Linked DNA regions of Notamacropus eugenii. The protein of the gene in region 2 interacts with the protein of the main gene of each other region in a biochemical or structural test. Links are inferred from orthologs where the notes say so. Each region holds a gene or a part of one and is shown on either strand. Other genes may lie near its edges. The genes, in order: GNA12 and ARAF.

Region 1 (3,909 bases), on a different chromosome or scaffold from region 2:
CAATGATCAAATTCATGAACTACTTTTTAATTCACATTTGCCATTCCAAAAGATAATTGCTAAAGCCCTGTTTTAGTAATGATTGATTCAATGTAACAAACATTGTTTACTAGGTCCAAAACCTTGTGCTAGATCTGAGGGAAATACAAAGTATCCCAAAAGTCTTACTATGGTTTAACCACAGTACAAAGGTCCTTGCCTTTGCACAGCTTAAAGGAGAGGTTCTCATACCAAAGTGTTTAACAAGTTTCACTCTTCACTTAAGTGTAGTGTAAAGGTTACTGACCAAATCAGATTACCATGTGGCCTCAGTTACTAACTAGCCATGTAACTAAGTGGACATCTCAGTTTTCTCAGTCCATAAAATGGATACCCCTCATACAACATACCCCTCTGGAATTTTATGAAGAAAGTCTTTAGCATTTGAGCTATATAAATGCAAGGTATTATTTAAATTAAAAGGTTCTTGTGAAAAGCAAATAGCTTAATTTATTAATAGTCTATAACTGAGGGAGAACATGCTGAACAATTTTTTTTTTGCTTGCAGTGTAGTCAAAGGTTAATGTCTAAATTTGCTCATTGCTGTTTATTGTTTAAACCCGAATTCTTTTTTGTTTTTAACTTGACACATAGGACTTGACACATTGTCAGTGACTGGTTTAAAATGTACCACTCCCTTCTTCCCTGCATCTAGAGATACTCAATAAAGATGGCTTTAAAGAACTGAAGCTTTTTGTAAAGCCAGCGGGATGGTTTTCACGACGATCCGAAGTCATTTCTGGGAATTTTATAATATAGCCCAGTCCCCTTGATGCCGAAAGTCTAATGGTTCTTCTCCGTGACTCTGTAGCTCTCTAGACCTTTAGAGTACCCAGAAAACTGGGACCGTGTTCGGTACACCTGGCACTCCTAGTGCCACGCCCATCCAAAGGTTAAGATCCAATCCGAAGACAACCCAAGATGATTGGCTTGCTTAGGGAGCAATAGCAGCCTGCATCAGTGGGTGGCCGTTCCATCCCCCCGAGTCCCCGCCTCCCTTTCATTCTGAAAGAAAGGAGCTCTGCTGAGAAGTCCAATGGGAAGCGTAGAGTCCGAGAACGACGTCTTGAACCCCGCCTCCCATCCACCGCCCCTCCTCCCCGACCCCGCCCAAATAGGGCTCTGCAGCCTTCTGGAGGAACCACAGACCAATCGAATAGCGTTCTGTGTCAGATTGACAACATTCAGCCCAATCCCTTGGGCCAAAGCGAGGGCGACCCACGCCCCTGCATGTACCCCTCCATCCCTCCCCCCCATCTCCTACCCTCGGCGGGGGGTCGGAGCGGCTTGCTGGGAGCTAGTGTGGGCTTGGGAGCGGGCGGTGGCGACGACTGCCCCGGGTTCTGGGTACTGACTCGGGGACTCGAGTCCGAGTCTCCGCCCGCTAGGATTTGGAGGCCGCCAGCGGCCCGGCTTCGCCCCCGTCGGTCCCCCTACTCCGCCTGTCCGGGGGTCGCCTCCGCAGCTCCCCGCTAGCGGCCGCGCCCCTCGGCCGCCTCCGCCCCGGGCCGGAGGAGCGGCGCTCCCCTCCCCCTCGGCCGTGGAGCCGCCGCCCCCGGAGGGCGGGCTGGGGCTACTCCGATGGCCCCCGGCTCCTAGCCGGGGGAGGAGGGGGCTGGGCGCCTTCGGGATCCGGGCTCAGCGCGGCGGCGGCGGCGGCGGCGGCGGCGGATGCAGACGGCCGCGGGGGGGCCGTGAAGGGGCGGCCGCCGCCTCCCGCCCCCGCCGTGTTCGCTTCGCTCAGTCCGTGCTCTCCGCGGCCGGCGGGGCCATGTCCGGGGTAGTGAGGACCCTCAGCCGCTGCCTGCTGCCGGCCGAGGCCAGCGGGCGGGAGCGCCGGGGCGGCGGCGGCGGCGGCGGCGGCAGCAGCCGGGACTCGGAGCGGGAGGCCCGGCGGCGGAGCCGGGAGATCGACGCGCTGCTGGCCCGGGAGCGCCGGGCGGTGCGGCGCCTGGTGAAGATCCTGCTGCTGGGGGCCGGCGAGAGCGGCAAGTCCACCTTCCTGAAGCAGATGCGCATCATCCACGGCCGAGAGTTCGACCAGAAGGCGCTGCTCGAGTTCCGGGACACTATCTTCGAGAACATCCTCAAGGTGAGGGGCAGGGCGCCCCGCTGGGGGCGGGGAGGCGTTTGGGGGGGGGGGGCGAGGCTCGAGCATCGCCTTCCTTCCCCTCCCCTTGGGGGGCTCCGCCGATCTCTGGTGCCTACCTGGTGCAGGTGAGGAGACTGACCGCCCTCCAGGTGCGGGGCCGGGACGCAGTCCTGGGAGCGCTTGTGGTCGGGCCCGCGGCTACCTGGGGGTGAGAAAGTCTTAATCCGGTTCCCTAGTCCCCTGGCCAGGGACGGAGGGAGCAAATCAAGCATTTATTAAGCACCCACTCTTTGCTTTACCGCAACCCTGGCACGTATTAGGAGTTCCATCTTATAACTGAGGCAGAGTTTAAGTGGCTCCATCAGAGTCATCCAGCTAAGTGGATTTGAACTCATGACTTCACCGCCTTGCAGCCTCTGCGAGGTACTAGACTGGGTGTTGGATTTGGCGAAGGGTCAGCAGGACCCAGGTTCCAATATGGACCCTGGCACTGTTTAGAACTGGGGAGTTCCAGAAGCAAGTTTTAAGTTGTGTGACCATGGGCAATCCCCTTTTAACTTTTCTAAGCCCCATTGCCCTGATTGCTAAAATGGGGATAGGAATGTCTCAGACTTACCTCACTGAGTTCTTGTGGGGATCAAATGAAATAATGAGTAAGATGCTTTGCCAGCTTTAAAATGCTATCATAAATATAGTTTATTTATGTGCCATTTTTATCTATTTCCTGGCGTAGTGTCCAACAGATAGTAGGCACTTAAAAATGCTTAGTGAATTGCATTGAAATTGAGTTAAAAGTGCATACGGATATTTTTGTTTTCGTCCTGTATTTTTATAACTCAGACTCCCTTTTTTGCTGTCACCAAAAAGTAGTCTTTTCCTTTATCCTGATCATCTTTGGATATTGTAGGGTGGATGGTAAATTAGGCCCTCGTTGGTGCATTTGGTGTGTTGATCTTAGGGGTTGGAGAGACCATGACTGCACTTCTAAAGGAAAAACCACATTGGGAACTTGGAGTAGCAAACCACTGCATGTTGGCTGCTTACTTTAGAAAGTTGCTGTATGATGTCTGTGGTTTTCCCACTCCACCCTTTAGAGTCTTCAGTCAAAGCTGATGAGGAAGTTGTTCTTGCTTTTTTCAGGACTGTGCAATCAGAAGAAAAAGCCCCAAATATGTTTTAATGTTATCTAGTGTTAAAAAGGGTCACAGAGAACTTTGGGGAAGTCATTGAGTGGATGTAGAGCTGACCTTTCTCTACCTAGGTATAATTTTTGACTTACTCTTTCTCTCCTGGTTTTTAAGTGATCATATTTTCAGGCCTCAAAATTGGCTTTTTACTCATTGTGGAAATAAGGGGAAGGGAATGGGACCTGAGGACCCAGAGAAACATTGTGAAATTAGTTATTTCAGGGAACTAGCCTGCTGTCCTGGAGGCTATGGATTTTATCTTGCATTTAAGATTTTAGAACTGGAGATGTCTTTAGAGATTGTTTAAGTTTAATCTTCTCATTTCACAAATAAGGAAACTGAGGTCTAGGAAGATTGACCTTTTGAAGGTCGGTCTAAGTGGCACAGCCATGTGTAGAATAGGTCTCCTGACTAGCTCAGTGATTTTTTTCACTAGACCATGTTGTTTTTCCTTTATAGACTTTTTAGTCTATAAAAAAATAGAAATGGATAGGAAAAAATAAAGAGAAAAACTGACACATATCTCTTTTCTTCTTTTCTGCCTTTTTCAGAAGATTAAAAGTTTAATTTAGAACTTTAACCAAGTATTTA
Region 2 (3,909 bases):
AGCGGAAGCCATGAAAGAGGAAGCGGCGGCAGAAGTCACAGAAGGTGAGAGCCAGGAAGGTCTTCCGGGCAAAGTTGTGAGCAGCTGCAAGCGGAACATCAGCCCGGACCTCGACTGTCAGTTCTTCCCCATGCAAGGGAGCAATGGCTGCATCCCAAGCTGTTGCTGTCTTCCGGCTAAGGGGGCCGAGAGGATGAGTCATATGGGGAAGGAGGGGGCTAGGGGAACTGGGAGAAGGGAGGACAAACAGGGAGCTCACCCCTGCACAAGGCGATACACAGCGCAGCAGTCTTGGTTCAGTCCCCGCACCTTCAGCGCCTTGTCCAGTGAGTCGGAGACGGTCATCCCATCTCTCGCAGTTACCTAACAGATGCTTGTGATTTACTTTTTCCCAAGTTTCCCTCCTTGTCCCAGCTCCCAAGATTAGGAGTTTCTTCCTTCCCTGGGCAGGGCCCCTGATCTTTCCCAGATGGCTTGCTCACCACTGTGCGCTGCTGGTTGGGCAGATAGACCTTCACAGTGCCCCCAACCCTATTGCTGGTGAAAGGGATAGCATCAGGATCTTCAGGTAGGGTTAAGCCCCTGGAGGGTTCCACAGGGGTGGCAGTCGGGCCTCGTCTCATCTTGCCCCCCCCCACACTCAAGTGACCTGAAAGGTGGGGAAAGACACTGTTGGGAAACGATGATGGGCTAGGCTATAGATCTCTATACTTTACTGAGGGGACAAGGATGATGGTGGGCTGGACACTGGTGCAGCAGAAAGGGTGCTGGGTTTGGAGTGGGAAGCCTTGGGTTCAAATCCTGGCTCTGCCATGTATTAGCTGGGTAAACTTGGACAAGTCACTTCACCTCTGCTCGCCTCAGTTTCCTCCTTTGTCAAATGATGAGGTTGGATTACATGACTTTTCTTCCCTCTCAGCTTTAGCCCTATGACCCCTATGCTGTGCAAGCACCATTAGAATGACAATGATGTTGGGATGGCTCAAGATCTCTCATTACCATTTATGGGGATAAGACTATTTGGGGCGGGGGAAGATCAGAAGACATTGAACTCTTGGGGGGCAGGGTGTGTGTGGATCAGGAAATCTTTAGTTCCCATAACAGAGGTTGACAAAGGTGGAGATAGAAATTTCTAAGCACTGTCAGATGGCCAAGCATGATGGGATAGGAGACTATGATTCCTGCCCCCAACAGCTGGTGCCATCCATCCTACCCTCTAATTCCAGCCCTAATTCTAATCCTTAGGGATCTTTTGTGAAGGAGCTTAAATGATTTCGGGGCCAACTCTGAAGTGGGAGTGGGGCTGCCACAGAAACAAGCAGTAGAGCTGCTGCCTGGGTGCTGGGGAGGAAAGAAAGTAAACAATACTGAGTCACCAGAACCTGCAGATAGAGACATGTTTGAACAAAGCAAGGAGGGGAACATTTCCACAGCACCCCAACAGCCCTTTTGTTGTGCCAAGGCAGGGGCACAGGATTCGAGAATACAAATAAGGTTTGCAAAGGTACAGGGGAGCTGTGACCCCCTAACTGTTCTTCACACATGCTTTCAGCTGTAAACACAGTTGGACAAGGCAGGGACTTCAGAGTGGTCACTCCATGTGGATCAATGTTTAGAGCTGGGCCCCTGGGGAAGCGAATGGCAGCACTATGGACATCAGCAAAGGAACACAGAGGTGGAGCTATGGTATACAGTGAGTGGGCCTTGGAGAAACAACCAGCACCTGTTGAGCAGAGCTACAGGAAGCAAAAATCAGAGTGATTAGCAAGGGCAAACCCTGACATTATAATTGGCTGGAGCCCCACCCAGGGGAATATCATAAGTCAAAGATTTGGGATTGGGGGGGTGGTGTGCCCCTCGTGTCCCTGTGCATGGGTGACTGTGTGTGTATGTACTCTCTGGGAAATTTCCATGATTCTGTGGTCAGCCTTGTGAGCCTGAGTACTTATATGGGGAGCCAGTGGCTACTCAAGTGGTTGCCAGACTCCAGGTGGGTGGGGACAACCCACAGGTGCGCCCAGTGTCCCTGGGCCTTCATTTCGAAGGGACTTGGACTGTTGCGGGGGGGGGGGGGGGGGGGGGGGGGGGGGGGGGCCGAGGCGCGGCTGAGATGAGGGGAGGCGAAAATTTCTGAAAACTCTTCGCAGGACCTAGATATTGGGGTTAGCAGAGGATCTCCAAGAGCCATAACCAGGAAGCTCTTATCACTAGGGAAAACGAAGTTTCCGAGTGTGGGTGGGGATTTCCAAGCGCCAAAAAGGGGCAAGGGGTAGAAGGGGTAGGTGGAATGGAAAGATTTTGGGGGGGAGACGACGGTGAAGAGGGGGTGGGAAATAGCCCCACCCCGGGAGGGACTCTGTGCGCAGGCGCCAGCAGCCAGATAGTTTAAAGGAACCAAATCCCGTGCCCCTCCCCCTTCCCTTCGCGCTTGCGCGTTGCGTCCAGCTACCCCTCCCAGCGACGGGAGATTCCATTCTTTTTCCGTGAAGGGGGGAGGCACGGGATAAGACAGGAAGTAATACAGAACGGCCACCGTGGCTTCAGCCTGGCGTCGTCTTACCTGTCACGGTGCTGGCACAGTGGCCTCCTCCATCTTGGGGCCCATCTTTCCTCTCCCAGAGGGTGGAACCGGCCACGGCCGCCTCAAGGCCCCTGTTCCGTCAGGCCTGCCCCCGTCGAGATCCCATTGGTCGCTTCAGCTCCAGCAAAGCCCCTACCCACAATCTCATTGACTATAGGAGCCGCCGCTCCTCCAGAATTCCATGCTCATTGGCGGATGCTTTCTCCTCCTTAGGCAGATGACACTGATTGGCCACTCAGGGAGTTCACCCCTTTCCTTTCAATCCCTCACTCTCCCGGAGCCCCACCTCTCCCGAGTGCACATCGGTCACTTCAGGAGCAGTTTTCCCTCAGTTCAATAGTTGTCAGGCCCCGCCCTCTACCTTCTCAATCCTGGGAGCCCCACCTCTGTCGAGTGTCCATTGGCTACTTCTCCCCCCACCCCTTCTAGGCCTGCAATGATTGGTCAGAGCGTCTTGTTCCTCTTCCTCCTCCCACTTCTCCGTTGGTGCACTCTCATTGGCTTTCTCCAGTCTCTTAGACAGCTCATTGGCTGCCTGGGTCTTGGTGTTGGTTGTGGCTCTTTAAGCCGACCAGGAGAAAGGTGGGGCAAAGAGTTGACTGAGAACTGGGTGGTGCAGGCTTGGGGCTGCAACCCGCCTCGGGGGTTAAGGATGTGGCGGAATGAGTGCTTTTGAGTGAGCTGACTGTCCCAGGAAAGAATTCTAGAGCAAACACTCCATTCCGCCTCTTCCCGTCATTCCTATTGCCTTCCCCCTCCCCTCTCCCGTTGTCCATTTCGGACTCTCTCTCTTCCCCTCTCCCTCTCCCTCTCCCCCTCCCCCCATGGGTTTCCCTGGGAAGATAAGGTCACCTGAGGGCAAGCTCTGTCTGTCACCCAGCCTTCTCAGCACTGGTTCGAGGAGAGAAATGAGGGAGAAGGGAGGGAGAGAAATAGAGAGACAGAGACAGAGAGACACACACAAAGAGAGGAGAGGAGAGAAGAGACAGAGAGAGACACACACACACACACACACACACACACACACACACACACAGTTTTGAAATCCTCAAGGAAGAGAGCTCTAGACGCGTTAGACCTGGGGCAGCTCAGGAGAGGCTGCTCACCAATGATAAAAGCTTCAGGCTGAGCTCTGCTTTTCATTTTGTCATAGTCCAGTCAAGGAAAGTGAATCGATTACTGAAACTCAATGATAAATCTGGAAAACCACTGAGGAAAAAAGTCTAGTGTCCTGATCACCTCCAGTCAAGATCCGTTCCTGTCAGTTTTCAGCCAAAGAGAGAAGAAAAATGGGGACTGACTACAAAGAACCCCTAAGGAGAGGTCAA

Evidence for each region.
Region 1: the proteins of ARAF (region 2) and GNA12 form a complex in vitro, tested with the Homo sapiens proteins (2 studies listed by BioGRID). The link is inferred for Notamacropus eugenii from reciprocal best matches to the Homo sapiens genes ARAF and GNA12.

What each region holds. Positions count from the first base shown.
Region 1 is NC_092874.1:385,310,022-385,313,930, forward strand, and holds the start of GNA12 (guanine nucleotide-binding protein subunit alpha-12), read left to right. Parts: upstream 1-1,228; 5' UTR 1,229-1,810; coding exon 1,811-2,131; intron 2,132-3,909. UniProt on the Homo sapiens protein: Guanine nucleotide-binding proteins (G proteins) are involved as modulators or transducers in various transmembrane signaling systems. Activates effector molecule RhoA by binding and activating RhoGEFs (ARHGEF12/LARG).
Region 2 is NC_092879.1:101,767,159-101,771,067, reverse strand, and holds the start of ARAF (serine/threonine-protein kinase A-Raf), read right to left. Parts: upstream 3,024-3,909; 5' UTR 2,561-3,023; intron 650-2,560; 5' UTR 624-649; coding exon 483-623; intron 364-482; coding exon 260-363; intron 177-259; coding exon 1-176. UniProt on the Homo sapiens protein: Involved in the transduction of mitogenic signals from the cell membrane to the nucleus. May also regulate the TOR signaling cascade. Phosphorylates PFKFB2.